Caenorhabditis elegans: one gene and its partners. The protein of the gene in region 3 interacts with the protein of the main gene of each other region in a biochemical or structural test. Each region holds a gene or a part of one and is shown on either strand. Other genes may lie near its edges.

The links.
Region 1: of the proteins of famk-1 (region 3) and clec-110, one has a biochemical effect on the other in vitro, tested with the Caenorhabditis elegans proteins (one study listed by BioGRID).
Region 2: of the proteins of famk-1 (region 3) and clec-100, one has a biochemical effect on the other in vitro, tested with the Caenorhabditis elegans proteins (one study listed by BioGRID).
Region 4: of the proteins of famk-1 (region 3) and clec-104, one has a biochemical effect on the other in vitro, tested with the Caenorhabditis elegans proteins (one study listed by BioGRID).

What each region holds. Positions count from the first base shown.
Region 1 is NC_003279.8:13,202,538-13,205,960, reverse strand, and holds clec-110 (C-type lectin domain-containing protein), read right to left. Parts: upstream 1,465-3,423; coding exon 1,214-1,464; intron 1,148-1,213; coding exon 993-1,147; intron 932-992; coding exon 799-931; intron 754-798; coding exon 558-753; downstream 1-557. Other genes in the region: ZK1225.1 (Core-2/I-branching beta-1,6-N-acetylglucosaminyltransferase family protein), read right to left, coding at 29-152, 287-297; F17B5.6 (L-Fucosyltransferase), read right to left, coding at 1,736-1,810, 1,856-1,947, 1,994-2,161, 2,219-2,322, 2,371-2,480, 2,532-2,645, 2,925-3,085, 3,252-3,318 and 1 more.
Region 2 is NC_003279.8:11,233,761-11,236,930, reverse strand, and holds clec-100 (C-type lectin domain-containing protein), read left to right. Parts: upstream 1-1,754; coding exon 1,755-1,925; intron 1,926-2,148; coding exon 2,149-2,426; intron 2,427-2,472; coding exon 2,473-2,629; downstream 2,630-3,170. Other genes in the region: F46A8.8 (Galectin), read left to right, coding at 224-691, 807-1,049.
Region 3 is NC_003284.9:15,208,782-15,214,948, forward strand, and holds famk-1 (Extracellular serine/threonine protein kinase CeFam20), read right to left. Parts: upstream 4,479-6,167; 5' UTR 4,452-4,478; coding exon of another isoform or gene 4,419-4,451; 5' UTR 4,397-4,418; coding exon 4,303-4,396; intron 3,241-4,302; coding exon 2,961-3,240; intron 2,867-2,960; coding exon 2,657-2,866; intron 2,607-2,656; coding exon 2,514-2,606; intron 2,433-2,513; coding exon 2,320-2,432; intron 2,258-2,319; coding exon 2,104-2,257; intron 2,055-2,103; coding exon 1,912-2,054; intron 1,611-1,911; coding exon 1,314-1,610; intron 1,205-1,313; coding exon 1,050-1,204; 3' UTR 508-1,049; downstream 1-507. UniProt on the Caenorhabditis elegans protein: Golgi serine/threonine protein kinase that phosphorylates secretory pathway proteins within Ser-x-Glu/pSer motifs.
Region 4 is NC_003279.8:12,857,895-12,861,851, reverse strand, and holds clec-104 (C-type lectin domain-containing protein), read right to left. Parts: upstream 2,360-3,957; 5' UTR 2,354-2,359; coding exon 2,081-2,353; intron 2,034-2,080; coding exon 1,928-2,033; intron 1,302-1,927; coding exon 1,103-1,301; intron 803-1,102; coding exon 655-802; 3' UTR 559-654; downstream 1-558. Other genes in the region: ciao-1 (putative cytosolic iron-sulfur protein assembly protein CIAO1 homolog), read left to right, coding at 3,590-3,740, 3,879-3,957.

The DNA of each region.
Region 1 (3,423 bases), on a different chromosome or scaffold from region 3:
TTCTCTACAGAAATGTATGCCAACTCACATTAAAATCTTCCACTTGAAACTGCGACTTTGTGTACAGAAACTCGAATTCTGTAAACTCGAAAACAATCCACAGCGTCAAAATCGCAAAAGTCAGGAGCAACGGAAGTTTTTTCGAAGTGGTCCTGAATTTGTTAAAGTTATTTTTGCAAAAAAAAAAGAAGTGGTCTAAAAGAAGACAAAAATCAAAATTTATCAAAACGTTACAAGCTTACATACGATTCATGCACAACTAAATATTTTCCAAATAAAAACTAACCTTCCAATCATTTTTAAATTGAAAATCGATAATAAATATGGTCCGAAGAATTTCAAGAAACGCACGCACTATCGAATTTTCCGCGTAGATAGCAGATCTAAAAAGAGGTACGCGGAAAACGGAATCGGGCAGTGTCTTGCTTGATCGCAATACAATGAGTTCACTGGAAATGAAAATCAATGTGCCGAACAGTTGGGCCGGGCAAGTTACTCCAGGAAAGAAAAAACACACTCGTAAGAAAACACTTCATTAATATTTCATATGTCACAATTTATCCACGTGATCTTCGACTGACCCCGACTTTTCCACAAGCGTACATTTTTGTCTGGGGCAGTCCTGGAGCGTCTAGGCATCCATATCTATCAAGATCTCCATTGGTGAAAGCAGCTCTCCATTCCTCGAGGTCTCCTCGAAGTCCGACCCAGTTAGGGGTCATGATGAATTGTTGAAGACAGATTGTAGGTCCTCTGAAAATAGTAATTGATGGTCTTTAAAATAATATTAGATCCGACCCATAGTTACGATTATCGGGTTGTCCAACTCCCCATTTGCTGAAGCCTGCAGTTCCATTCGTGTGACCATCGGTCCATGTAAATGTGTTATAAGGTCCACAGCTTTGGTATCTGCATGCTGGTACATTTGTCGCTCCAAGCCACATAGATGAACATAATTATACTGAAATTGCAAAACTGAGATATAGGCTTACCGGCAATGGTAGATTGTCCGGCAGCTACGAGTTTTTTCAGTGCTTCATTTGCAGTGGTCACTCGCTCATTATCATTTTGATATCCTGTCAACGTGGCACCCATTGTTTGGCAGAGGGTTTCAGCAGTCGGTTGAGTAAGCATAGCATTTGTGATCCTCGGATAGGCAATCTAACAAGGAATTGAATTCTTGTTAAATCCAGAATCACTTATAAAAATACACCAGATTTCGTGATCCCTCTCGAATCTCAACCATCCATCGTCACATTCACCTCTCGGAGTTGTTGGTCTTGAGGGTCTTGGAGGCCTCGGCCGATGCGGGGGTCTATGTCTATGTTCTTCGGAAGATGAAGATAAAGAAGAATCAGAGAAATCAAGCCGTCTTCTTCCACCTCCTTTACCACCATCAAATTCGATAGCGATGGTTATAGTTGCAAAAAGCAAAAGAAACACGACTGGCGTCGCAAGATGCATCTTTGATACGGAACTCTGCTGGTTGTCTCATAAAACTTTGTATTTTATACTGATGCTGGTTTTTATCGCTTGGAAAAAGGTGATCGGGACAGAGAGAAACGTGGTATTACCGTACACTGTACATTTTTTGTAGTAGTATTATACATCTGCATACGACATAAAACATTCAGAGTGTTCCTGATCAGTTTTTAAGTAGCAATGAATTTTTAAAAAAACTATTTTATTAATATAAGGTGTAAAACCAACAAACAACTATCACTAATATGTTAGCTTAAAGCATATCAGAAATCCGCAGTTTTGTCCAAGTTTCTGGAAAGAAATCCTCTTCGACCATTTGGTACTTCACCTGAACAAAAAAACTTTATATTTTAGGAATACGCCCAATAAATACCTCATCAGTGGTTTCTCGAATATCTCGATAATACACTGCTGATTGATTTTTTGACAGATATCCGATCCACCAGCCAAACGTGGAAGAGGGGGCTGAAAATAATTTGATTTCTCATTCTCTCAATACCTTTACACCTACCAGTTATCAGAACAGAATCACAGTAAACCTGCGAAAAATAGAGATCATCAATGGCTCGATTGTTGGGAGTTCTTAGCACTTTCATATCATTTCGAAAAGCGACATGGTTCACAATATGCTCTCCCACCCAGTCTGGATCGTTGCTGATCATGTAAATAGTTCCACTGTCTAAAAATGGGAGTTTTATAACTGCAGCCAGACTGTTCCGGTAAAATTTTTACTAACATTTAGTGAACAAATACTCGATTGCCTTGATAGTAAATGTTTCGTCTGTCCCAGTGTGCTGCGAGTCTGCGACAAAGTCTCCACGACGAACGTGCACGCAGGTACTAAACATTAAAGATTTTAAGTTTTGTTGAATATAAATTAGGTGGTACCCATGACGACCTTCCTCCTGATTCTTCATTGAAATTCTGGCTAGTTCTTCCGGGGTTGGCTTCAACAACTGCCTGATGGTAGATTCGATGGGTGCAAAATATTTGTAACTCTGAACATATCTAGCTAATATCATAGTTTACCTAGCGGTCGTAGTTCTCACCTGGAAATGCATCCCATCAATGACCAGGAACTTGCTCTGATCGCAAGTGAGCAGGCCCGTGTATTGGTAGTAACAGCAGGCGACTGGTGCGACGAATCGAGCGGACTTTGAGATCTAAAACAGTGAAGGATGTTTGATTGTCTTATATCTTCACATAGAGTCTATAGCAGGTAAGTATGCCGTGCCAACCAAAGCTGGGACCTATTTTGTTATTTTGAAAAACAATTGATTTTTTTTTGGTTTTTTGGAACAAAAAGAACCTAAAATTTTCACTTTTTCACCGGTTCTTTGTTTTTTGGTTCAAATTTATTTTTTGGTACCAGACCTGGTGTCAACCTCAATTATTACACATTAGGTTTTTAAGGTGCATTTTTTAAGGCCCGTAAGGCATACCTCAATAGGCATCGAGGCCACCTTCTCGGCTACACGTGGAACTGTTTCTCGGAAGAAACTGAGCTTTTCGTTGAGCATTGTGTCGTCTTTGTTGAATATCGCAGTTCTGTTTAACACCTCTGCCATTCCAAGTAAGGAAACTACTTCGAATAGTTGGTTTCCTGAAATTTTTGTATATTTCTATATTACAAAAAATATACGTTATCATGACTGTTGGAGCTTTTAATTATTCCGACTTTATTTTCAAAACTTTTGGGTACTTTTAGTATGGCCTTACAGCAGTTAAGGAAAGATTTAAACTGGTTTGCATATATCTAAATAAATTACCAAGGCCTGAATCCGTTATTGTCGTTAGCATGGGAATAACCAAGTATTTTTGTTCGTCGTTCCTTTTCTGTAATTATAATTTTATCATTGTAAGGTTTCATCTTAAAATTTAAAATACCCCATCACAATATAATGAAGTTCTTATCCACCAGTAGTTGTAAGGGCGAGGGAT
Region 2 (3,170 bases), on a different chromosome or scaffold from region 3:
CGCTCCCTGCTCAGAGACCGCGTGGGCTTTAGAGTCATGCGCTTTATGCACGTCTCCAAAGTCCACTCAGTGCAACATGAGAAGTGATCATAGAACACTTCCACATATGTATAATAAAATCTTGTCGATATAGACGTTGAAAGTCACACATAAAGTTTGAGACTAAAGTCGACAAGCTATAAAACATGTACTCCTCCGCTGAAACCTCAAAAGTTCCTTTTCAATGAGGCTTTTACATGTTCTTCTACTCCTCACCTTTCTGGTGCTAGTTTCTGGATATTTTTCTGATAACGGCGATAAAAAAGTTAAGAAAATAAAAATAGTCCACTATGATTCAACATCCTCCAGTTCCTCTGAAGAACATCGTCATAGGCCACGTGGAGGAAAAGGGCCTAGGTTCGACGATGGTTCCTTCGAGGATTACAGTGGGCGACGTGGTGGTGGGCGGCATAGGCCACCGAGGCCTCCAAGGCCTCCAAGGCCCGTACCAACACCTAAGCCAGTAGAAAATATGGAAACTCTTAATGGGCCGTTTGGGCCCGATGTACGTTATCCGATTCCTGGAGGATATTGGGATACAGGCAAGGTCCTCCGATTTTATGGTGTTCCTGGACAAGGTAGATGGTCCATTAACTTGGATCAAGCAAAGACGTGGCTGTTTCATTTCGCGTCACAGCCTGATCTGGGCCATGTGAGTCTTTAACTTCTAAGAAATGTGGGCCGTTGAGCTTAGAACCTCATGTTTAGGCCATGTTGCTTAAAAAACAGTCCTTGCCTCTGAATACTTCTTTTTCTTCATTTTACAGGTTGTCCGAACCCGTGAGCAAAATGGGCAATTTCAAACCCCTGACACATATGGTGGAAACCCATTTCCTGCTGGTGCCAATTTCAATGTTACTATGGTCAATCAGCCAACGCATATTGAGATTCATGTCAATCAGGTTTTCTTCACAAACTATAATCATCGAACTGGCAATCCATCGAGAGACTATCAACACGTCGTTTTCTCCGGAAATGTCATTATCTCGAAAATTGAAATTACTAGATAACTTGTTTAGCTGAATGAAACCTTTGTTGTCAGTTTATTGAAATATTTGTAGTTTTGTGGTTCAGAATAGTCCGATTAGCTAAAAAATAGCTTAATTAGCCAGTAAATACAAAGATTCAACCGTGGATTTATTAAAATTCCTATTAAAAAAGATTAAAGGACGATTCCTGCTATGCTCTGCGGATCCGGTGAACTACCTGGTGGTGCTGAAACTGGGTTATAATTTAAAGCACGCCGGGGACTGTGGCCGATGACCTAGTCATGGATTGCAATATAGAGGCTGGGTGGCAGACCGGTGAAACATGGGGCGGCAATCCGTATACTGTCGGTGCCAATTTCAATGTCACTTTGATCAATCAGCCGTCACATATCGAGATTCATGTCAATCAGGCATTCTTCGTGAACTTTAACCATCGAGTTGCCAATCCGTCGAGGGATTATCAAGTTTTGAATTTCCACGAAAGTGTCGTTATCACGAAATATGAGATTACCAAGTAATGAATCATTTGTTGCATTTTCTTGAAACAATAGAAATCAGAGCCCTAAGCCTGAGCCTAAGCCTGAGCCTAAAACTCTGGACACCAAACATGAAAATGATGAAGCTACAAACATCGGAAGCGATCTTTCTGCAGAACAGTTGGTAATAAAAACGTTTGCAAACATGGCTATTTAAGTGCACTTCCGATCAAACTTTTGAAGAACCAAGATGTTCCTGATTCTTTTTCTCGTTTTCATAACCACTTCAGCTATAGATTTTGATGATTCCTCATGTGACTCCTCGTCAGAAGAGCATGGAGGTGGGCGTCCGGCTCGACCGGGCACCTGTGGACAGCACTGGCATACTTTCAAGAGACCACAGGGGACATGGTGTGTTAGAGTGAGTTTTCTAACCTGAAATGTTTTAAATTTGAAAAATTATACCATAAACCTGATAAGCGAAAACTAAACCAAATCCTGAGCTTAAGCTTAAGCCTAAGCCTAAGCGAAAAACCTAAGCTTAAGCCTAAGCCCAAACCAAGGTCTAAGCCTAAGCCCATGTCCAAGCTAATTTCGTGTAAATTTAAGTTTTCGTAGAGCTCCCTGAGGCCTTTCTTTTCCAGGTGGTCACCGGCGATGTAGACTACTACCGGGGTCTTGCTGAATGCGCAAAGTACGGAGCAGTCCTGTCCGGAATTCAAAACAATCAAGAACGAGAATGGATTGCAAACAAGGCCGTTAGCTTGAACGTAGCCGCTGGTAAAACTCACTCAGGAGTCTGGCTTGGTGCTCAGCGAACCTCTGCGACGGCGTTCCGATGGACAGACGGGCATACCACTGGGACTGAAGCTATGGTATTCGGGCCTGGACAACCGGATAATGATCATGGAGCTGGAAGAGGGTATGCAGGGTTTTAGTCTTCAAGCCTGATCCATTTATATTTCCAGACCTCAACGCTGCCTGCAGCTTATGGCCTTGACACCGTCCTACTGGAACATTCCGGGTCACCTGATAAATCTGAAGAGTGGACAGCTTGACGATATTTGGTGTAATGTGACTTTGAGCCCGCGAGTCAGAATGTACTTGTGCGGGAAAAAAGCTTGATAAATTTCAATATAAATTCGGTTTATGCATTTATATCTATTATCCGAGTGAAACGAAAGAACCTAGATTCTAACAAGAAAAAAACAAAGGTTAAAAAAAATTACTATGATACACTCAAAATAATAAAACTGCGTGGCGTGTACTGCAGAAAACCTCATATTTAGGCCCCGCCTTTTTCTCGTCCACTCACGGAGAAAAGGCAAAAATTTGGGGACCAACCAATATCAGGCCGCCGACATCCTACGGGTTCCGCGCGCCGCTATGTTTAACTCGCAGCGGGCGGAGACAGCTCACCACGCCCACAGCGAGTTAAACATAGCGGCGCGCGGAACCCGTAGGATGTCGGCGGCCTGATATTGGTTGGTCCCCAAATTTTTGCCTTTTCTCCGTGAGTGGACGAGAAAAAGGCGGGGCCTAAATATGAGGTTTTCTGCAGTACACGCCACGCAGTTTTATTATTTTGAGTGTATTTGGTCAATTTTTAAAAGCAATCTCTACACTGGCGCTACTTCACCATTAAATATGTTACTTATTTAGTTAA
Region 3 (6,167 bases):
AGCATTTGATTAGAAACACCGTTTGTCAATTTTTAAATTACTTTTCCGTAAAGCGGAAATTTCAAAATCAACCTAATAATCGACAATTTTAATATTTTTTATAATATTTTTTTAAAGAAAAGTGTTCGAAAAATTGACTAACAGAATTTTAACTCAAATGCAGAAGATGAAATCAAGGAAACCTGGTAAATTAAGCCAGAAAACGCGAAAATATTGAAAATGACGTCACTCATTTGCGCGGGAATTTAAATTTAATTTGGCCGCTTTTTTTAATTTTTGCAAAGTTGAAAAATCATAAAAAATTTTGAAATTTTGAAATTTTTTTTGAAATTTTGAAAATTGTTAGCAATATTGAACAGTTATATTCGGTCATTAGGGTCCACTTTTTGTCAAAATTTTAATTACTTGAAACTAAAATTTTTTTAAAAAAATTTTAAAAAATTCCTTGAAACTTGATCTCTGAAAATAACAATTCCTGTACTGGAAATGAAAAAAAAAACACAGAACAATTTAATCACAACATTTATGATTCGTCCTGAAAGTAGAAAAAAAAACAACCGATTTGACAAGAAATGGAGCACTGCAGCCACATTGCTCAGCGAGAATTATATACCCAGTAAGTTTGCGTCTTTTGATAAAAGAAGTATGATATTCAATAGGAAAAAAAAAGAAATGACAAAAAAAGAGCTGAGAATATATAATCATAATATTCAACAGAAATTCTACACAAAACAACTATCAGGTTACTTTTCAAATTCTTCGAGAAATTTTTTCGATATTATAACACCGATTTGTTTTTGATTTGACCTACATAATATGACCCTCATAAATGAATGTTTGACCAGAGAGAAACCGTGGAGCGATGGATGGGATACCTTCTTGTGGGTTTAAAAAACGGGGGGAAGTGAAAAGAAAAAATACAACAATAACAGAGAGTGAAAGAAGCTCGAGACCCGAATGCAACGCAAAGAAACATTGAAGTTTAAGAGGGAAATTTAAAATGCTACTACATGACCTTGGTAAAATTGAGAAGACCTAACGAATGACGACTAAACAGTTTTCTTATCATCCTTCTTATCCTGATGCTCCTCGCTTTGCTCTTCGTCGTTTTGCTCGGCGTCTGAGACATCGGGGTTGTTGTACTCGGCAACTAGAACTTCGGCAACTCCCCGGCTTTCGAAGCATTCCAGTATGTGAGACATAACTGAAAATTGTTTTTTTTTCTTTAAGTTTTGTATTCCCAAATTGGAATTTTCACAGGAAAATATTTTTCAGGTTTTTCGGTAACCTTTCAATATAATTTCAATACTTACTTTTTGCTAACCGCCTTTCCATTGCCGGATAATGCTTATAAGCCAAAATCGGATGGGCTGGATCTTTCGATAATGACTCGTGTAGGGCTTTCGTCAGTGACTTTGGTGTACTGTAGAAATTCATAAGGGTCTGGAAAGTGGATGGACGTAGGATGCAGCATTGTCGGAGCGGGAGAATGATGTCGTCATCGTCAAAGTCAGATCTGCCAAATGCTCGACCATGGTCGAGATGGATCGCATAGGAAGGAAGATCGTTGAACACGTTGAAGGATTCGAAGTGATGACGGTCTTGGTTTCCTGGATGTTTGTAGTTTAGTCTTTGGTTAATAATAAAATGTTAGTAAACTTGTGGTAAATGTGCACCCGACATTGAACGAGGTCCATAAAAAGCACTGTGAGCAGCAAATTCTATATTGTACAGTTGCTGTCTTTCAATTACTCTCCTCATACAGAACAGTTATGAAACTTTAATACTCGTAGCACTGTCAGAAATACGAAAAAAAAATTCCGTACAGTTATTCTATATTTACCATCCATTCGGAGGGTGCAAACACCACCGGTTTTTTATGTTCAAAATTTGACAACTGCAAATTCTTACCTATTAAATAATCCAAAATATGAATATCAACCAGATCAAGTAACCTTCTTCCATGAGCATATTGTCGCTTGGTTTTCACCTTATCCGTGCAATAATTCATACTCGACTGCCATTCAGCTACTTGATTCTTTTTCGAGTAGGTTCTGAAAACAGTCTGCTAGCTATTTTATTATCCATCGGCCTTCAACCTACCGTCTATACGGACTCCTATTATGCTTCCGAGGAACTGCTGACTCGTCGGGTAAGAACACTTGCACACTGCCTTCCTTCATATCAGGAAGACCGCAAATTGCATGTGTCGTGTCGCAGTAATAATCGCATCGTGACACGAAGCAAAAGTTTTTGGCTGGAATTATTTTTATAAAATTGATGTGGTGAACAGGTTTGGTGTCTTGATGTCAACTGTACCTGGAGAGAAGAAGAAAGTCTTCTTGAGTTTTTTCTCTGCTTTTTCGAACAGCTCAGTTGTCATATTGAGAACTCGTCCAACGGTGGGGATTGCTCGTCGGAAGCCGAGCACTCTGAAATTCAACTGACCGATTTAAAAAAAAAAATTGATAACCATCTCTAACAAAAACAAATCCATTATTTAATCCACTAACCTGTCTAAATGGAAAGTTGCGATTTCTGCATGATGTCGTTCAAAATCACTGAAGTAGAAATGATTCGGATCCGATTCATAATCGCGTCCAAATCTGAAAAAGAAAGAAAACAACTATTTTCCGGTGTTCTCTGTTCATCAAACCTCATCGGCTTAAACACGGCCTGCTTATCGTTTTTGAAGGTGAACACAAATTTCACTTGAGTGCCTCCATCCATAATGTGCACGTGTTTGATGGGACTTGTGTTGAGATCGTGCAGCAAGTTGTCAATCATTTGATCATCCGAGTACACCGAACAACTTCCAATGTTTGAGTAGAACCTCTCCCAGTTGTCATCTTCCGGCACATTTCTCCTGAAACAGTGATGAGATTTTTTTTTGCTGGCAGCTGGTGTTAAAATTTTCATTTTCATTTTCAATTTTTGAAATTTCAAAATATAAAACTTACTGTTCAGACTTCTCCCAGAACTTTGAAAGCGTGATGTTCTTCTTGCACTCGTTCTGCCTTAACTGATCAAAATCTACATTTTTAGTGAGATCATAAAGTTTGCGTAAAGTGATTTTGTTAGATGAAAACAAGAAGTTGAATGGATCACTAAGATCCTTCTCGCCAAGGCTTGGAGGAATTGGCTGGTGTGGTAGACTATTTTGTCCGACTGGAAACAAGTCGGGACTCTGGTGGCCTACAGCTCGTGCTTCGTTTGATTGAGGTCCTTGTTTCCATTCTCCTGAAAATGGATGCAAGATTATTTAGGAGAAACCTTGTGAATGGTTTGTTTAAAACTATCAACTTAGTCATACAGGCCCAGAGTTTAATAAATATAGTTATCATAAGAACTGTTAGAAAAGAGAGATAATTGAAAGGTGGAGTAGCGCCAGTGGGGAAATTGTTAACAACTATTCCTAAAATGCCGAAATGATCGAATATCATAATAAAACTTTTCAAAAATGTTTTCTAAATTTTTTTATTTACTGTCAAAAAGTGGCAATTACTCAGTTTTTGCCACTTATAATACTGGAAGTCGACCAAAATTATTTTTTCCTACATTTTTTACGCTTTAATTTTGTTTTATTTATTAGGATTTAAACATTGCAGGGGTCGGAACATGCGACGTTGCTCCAGATTTCACCAAAAGCTCATATTTTTCAAAACTGTGGAAATTTGCCAAAACTTTGATCGGAAATTATAAAAAATCTAAAAATGTTTTGGAGTGTTTTATTATGATATTCGGTCTTCTTGGATCATTATTAGTGTAGTTAGACAATATCCCCACTGGCGCTACTCCGCCTTTAATATTATAAAGTTCGAATAGGCCTAGTAAAAATATTATCAAAATGGGTAAACTACGAAAATCTATATATGTAGAACGTTTCAGACTTATTAAAAATTGCAATCAAATTTTTGGCAAACTGCCAGATTTTCAAGAAAATACAAAGTTCATAAACATTTTTTTGTAATTTTTTCCAACGTGTCATTGTCAAAAAGTTTTCTACTACTTTTTTAATACTTTTCTAGGAACAATATAAAAACTTTTGTGGAAAAGTGTTGATTAAAATAGTATTCAAAGATGTCTAAAGTTTTTCCATTTTTTTCGGAAATTGAGATTTGATCTAAATTTTCATATAGACAATAAAGACAAAATTGTCACAAAACTCCCACATGTTATAGGCCACATTTAGGCATAGTTTCTCTCTTGTTTTATCGATTGCTATCGCCACTATTCCTTTCTAGCGAATTCAAATAATCATTTTCAACCAATAAACAACACATATACAATTTTAGAACTTACTTTCATAGTTGTCCTTGGAAAACGAGATTATAACCAGTGTAGCCGCAAAAACTCCGATCGCCAAAGTGAATAATCGCTTTATATTGCACCGCATGTCTTTCTGGACTTTTCTCGTCTCACTTCTTGCTCTTTGCTGGTTTCAGCTTCATCAAACGCCGGCTCCCAGTTTTGTGACACTGCAAAATGAGCATTTATGGGGTGAGGTTCATAAGCTATTATAGATAAATAATGGGGTAGAATGAGGAAACAAGAGATCAAAGCGATTAATTAATAATTTACTCCAGCAATATATACCAATTACAATTCAATTCTAGTCCTATAAATTCAATTAAAGTTTCTTCTAATGGACAGAAGAGGGCAAGTGGGGGGAGAGAAAAAGAAACTGCCACACTGTTTTCGAGAAACATCACCACACGCACGCCATCAACCACCTCCTCCTCCTCCATCCACTCCTAAACTGACAGACCCGCACACCTTGTATATTGTAAAAACGACAAAACATTGGAGAGGCGAAGAGGCTGTAAACATCGGCGAATGATGTGGAGGGAAGGGCCTGGGAACGTCAAAGGTGTGTGTGGTTCGTTTCTTCGGCAGAGTCGCTGTGTGTGTTTGCTCGTAAAGTGCTGGGAAGCAAGAAATTGACGGAGGATTGCCCACCTTGCGTCACCGAACTTATTGGTGGTAAATGGGACTTTTTGGAAAATTAGCTGGGTCATCATTTGGGATGTGGTCAGGGTGGAGAACGAGATTGAGATTTTTGATATCCCACATCTAGAAATGATCCGTTATATGTATATTATGAGCCTTTAATAAGAGATGAGCACCAAAATTTGATTTATTATCCGTTTAAAAAACAGAAAATTTGGTTCGCTTTTGAGAATATTTTATGTAGAAAATTAAACAAAAACTGTAAGTTTGACAGGAAATTTCAATTAGCGACGAGGAAAAATCAACGACAATACTTTTACTAAATAGTTTTTTTAATTGGAAAAACAACACTTATTTTATCAAAATTTATAAATCGGACCAATTCAAGTTTGTTAATTTGTTACTAATTTGAAAAAAAACTCATAATTAAAATCAATTTTGCTCCCATGCAGATATATTTACTGCTCAAATAAACTAGGCTTAAACGTTTTACGATCAAACGTGTGGTTTTACATAAGCTTTTAAAATCTTAAAGTGGAGTAGCGCCAGGGGGAAATTGTTAAAAACCATTCCTATGGTGCCAAAATAACCGAATATCATAATAAAACTTTTCAAAAAAGTTTTCAAAATTTTTTTATTTACTGTCAAAAAGTGACAATTACTCAGTTTTTGCCACTCATAATTTTGGATTTCGACCAAAAAAAAATTTGTTTTTCTGCATTTTTTATATTGTAATTTTGTTTTATTTATTTGGATTTAAACATTGTAAGAGTCAAAACATACGACATTGCTTTGGATTTCCTCAAAAGCTCATATTTTTCAAAAATTTGTCAATTTTCCAGAACTTTGTCCGGAAAAAAAAGGAGTGGTTGATTATGATATTTGGTCGTTTTGGATCATTATAGGTTTATTTAGAAACAATCCCCACTGGCGCTACTCCACTTTTAAACATTGCACATAGAGAGAAAAATATGAAAAATAAGTACGAATCTGAAATTTCAATATTTCTATTTTAATTCCAAATCTGATTCAAAATTTAAAGATTTTTTCTTTCTATTTTCTAACCATAAAATAAAAACATTGGATCAAGAAAAAATAATCTTTCTCAAATTGTAGTCAGAATGATGATATCAGAGAAAAACAAATTTCAAGCAAAACAAAAACTATATGATAAGAAAGATGAAGAAAAAAATTGATTACACAGTTAACTGATGTTT
Region 4 (3,957 bases), on a different chromosome or scaffold from region 3:
TCCATAACTTGGGTCTCGTTAGGAATTGGTGGCCAAAACCAATAAATTCGAATTTTTTAGATTAATTTTGCTGATTTAAAGCATTTTTTTGTTAAGTTTTCCGTAAAAAAAAATGACGAAAAATGCTTGAAAACGGGGGAAAAATACGGTTTTCTTCCTAACGAGACCCTAAATATGATGGGCGGAGCGTTTTTATTTTGCTTTGGAGCGCGATTGCACCAAGTTTTCGAAAAAATGAATTTTTTTGGTTGCCATGATAGTCGATATTTTGTATAATTAGACCTAAAACATTCCAAAAAAAGACAATTTTAAATAAGTAAAAGTTTTGGAAAAAAATCCTGATTGGTCGAAAAGTGGGCGGAGCAAATCGCTGATTGGTCTTGCAGTTCTATTTTTGGAGGGGATTCAAACAGATGGATTGTCCCTATTTTAACGAATTTTTTTCGTGTTTTCGTTCTAATACATCGTCATTTCTCGCAAATTTGGCACGTCAGTTTAAAGGCACACGTTGTTTTTTTTTCAAGTGGGTCTCGCCACGAACTCAGTCACAGTGGTCGCTACAATTGCCAAATTTCATAGATTTCTTCATGACATATAAAGGTTTTATAAGTATGAGTTTCGGCGTCCCATTCAAGAAACTCCAACACAAAAATCTCATACTTGTTCGGGTACTTTTCCACATGCATAGAGTCTGACCGGTACAACACAAAGCATATCATCCAAATCTCCTTGATGATATCCGTAGCGAGCCGCTTCAGTGTCAGAGCTCGGGTGAATATGCATTTCCATACAATATTGTTGTCTGAATATTATAGAAATAAAATGGAATGAATTTAATTTAGGTAACCCTGAAATTTTAAAGGTTTTAGGCCTAGGCTTAAGCTTAGGCTTTGGATTAGGCTCAAGCTGTGAGGCATAGGCTTAGGCTTAGGCAGAGGCTTAGGCTTAGAAGTAGGCTCAGGCTTTGGTTCAGGCTTAGGCTTATTAGCTTGACAAGCCGAGATTTAGGCTTAGAGAGGTGCTCTGCGGCTCAAAAAAAAGTCTGAAAAGAGCTCCATGTAACTTTACGATTTATAAACTAGTAGTTAAAATCTGTACTAACCCATGTTCGTTGACATATCCATTTGGCTCGGTACCCGGATAATGGAATCCATCAGTACCAGTTGTATGTCCATCAGTCCATTCGAAAGTGTCAAGAGGGGTACATGAAGGTTTATTTGGACATCTAGCTTTTCTATAGGCTCCAACCCAAACTTCGGCTAAGCCACCTCCATTCTGGTTTGTAAGTGTACGAGCAGCGTCTGAAGTGTTTCCAGTAAAATAAAATTTCGTCTAGGAAACCGGACATCCGGTTTTTCAAAGTTCATTTTTTGAGTTTTCATATAATTTACCAGAAGAAACAGTGCCATCACGTGGTGTCAGGCTGTCTCATTACAGTTTGATCTACAAAAAATGCGGAAATATTTTTCCAGAAAAGTTGTGACGTCAGCACGCTCTTAACCATGCGAAATCAGTTGAGATGTCTGCGTCTCCCCTCCCGCATTTTTTGAAGATCAAATCGAAATGGGACTTTCTGACTCCACGTGTGCCATAGCATTGTAGCAAATCAAAAATTATGGAAAAACCTCGGTATCACCTTAAAAATAGACACTGTATTGCCCAGATTTCGGATACCCGTTAGTCCGATTTTCCACGTGGTGTCAAAGTGTGTCTCATTTCGGCTTGATCTACGTAGATCTACAAAAAATGCGGGAGAATAGACGCAGAGTTTTTAACTGATTTTGCATGGTTAAGAACGTGCTGACGTCACATATTTTTGCTGGGCACAAAATTCCCGCATTTTTTGTAGATCAATCCGTAATTGGACAGCCTGGCACCTCGTGATAATGGTTGATAGGTCCCAGCCTACAACAACTACAAATCTCACATGAAACTTGCATTCGCTCATTGGCATTCTGGTATCCGGACAATGTGGCCCCTTGTGCCTGGCACCTACTCTCGGCGATGGGCTGAGTGAGTGATTCATAGAAGACCTGTAAGACTACAAACTATAAAGAGCTAGCACTTGTAGCTCGCTCACCTTGACACACCAGACTCCCTGAGGTCTGTCAAACGACAACCAATCACTTGGACATTCGGGTTCTCTTGATACTGGCGGACGTGGTGGACGTGGCCGTGGGGGTCTTCCATGATGGTGGCCGTGGCCGTGACCGTGATGTCCTCGTCCCTCTTCTGATGATGATGATGATGATCGTGACCCAAAACCTCCACCTCCAAAACCTCCGCTGGCTCCAGGAGCAAAGATAGCTGAAGCTATGGATGCCGCCAGTAGGAGTAGCAGGATGGATCTCATTCCTAAAGGCATATTAAACCACGCCCATTTTGTAAGCTGCGCACGGTTTCGGGAACTGTGCGCAGATTGCTAATGGGATTGTAAAAGTTTTGATAATTTAAGAAAACAAAGTGATGTTTAAACAATCGACAAACCAAAAAAAAAATCTATGAAATTTCTTTAAAAAAATCGCTGTTTTATATTGATCAACCCCTCCGTTCGGAGGGGTCTCATTTCATTGCAAATGCTTGCAAAATTACAACAACTTCCCGCATCAAACATTAATTTTTGCAATTTTCAAAGATTTTGCGCGATGTTTGAACTTTTTGAACGAACCTGGCCGCGAAATAAGAAACTCGGCCACTTATTTAATGGTTTTCTTCTTCCTGGTCTCCAACTCAATATTAAACATTAATGCTTGCATTTTCAATCATTTGAGCTTTTTTGGAAACTGTAGCTTTAGAAATGACAAAGATCGTGACGAGACCCGCCCAGAAAAGTTGTGTATGTGCCTTTAAATTGCCGTTGCACACATTTTCACGAATTAATGATAAATTTTATACTTTTTCATTCCAAAGTTTGAAAAATAAAATTCTCCTTTCGATTTCAGAGCGTTTTCCTGATTCAGTTCAAATTTGAATCCAAATAAAAAACTAATTTTCAAGTCTCGAGACCCGAAGAACTCGGGGGATGTCCAATTGGGGGGATTACCAACTCGGGGGATTGGCCCCGCCCACAGAACCGTGGCTTGCAATACGCCCATTTCTGCAACTGCCGCACGGTTTTAAAACTGTATTTTTCTCAATAGAGCGAGAATTAACAAGAAAAAATAATTTTAAAACCGTGCGGCAGTTGCAGAAATGGGCGTATTGCAAGCCACGGTTCTTTGGGCGGGGCCAATCCCCCGAGTTGGTAATCCCCCCAATTGGACATCCCCCGAGTTCTTCGGGTCTCCAAGTCTCGCGCCGTTTTTCGTCTTATCTTCTCTGCGCCCTCTCACTCTCTAACGCGTGACGATGGAGCGCGACTGCACTGGAATTTTTTGGATAATTCTTTATCGCGATTTTTTCAGCAATTTTCTCATTTCTTCTAGTTTTTCTTAAGATTCTTGCTATTTTAAAAATATAAATCAGCTATTTTTAAATTTTCCATCAATTTCACCCGGAATTTCACACAAAACGCTCATTTTATTCGCAATTTTCCTTCAAATATTGTTTCTAAAGTTTTTAAATTTATTTTCAATTTTCAGACCGGAAAATGCTGCGACAAATCGGTGAATTTTATCACCAAGGCGAGAAAGATGACACAAGTCGAGTTTGGATGACGTGTTGGCATCATGGAGGACGAATTTTGGCTTCTTGCGGCGACGATAAGGCTGTCAGGGTTTGGAGCCTCGTTGGAGAGCCTGGTTGGTCAATTTTTATTGAAAATTGTGCAGAAAATCGTGATCAGCGGTGTGGAAAACATAAAAACGAAGGAAATCTATCGAAAAACAGATTTTTTCCTTTAAAAAATTCGAAAATCTCTAAAAATTCCCAAATTTCAGATTCAAAAATGCGTCTGGAGTGTCGTACAACACTGGATGACAGTCATACACGGGCGGTTCGATCAGTCGCATTTTCAAA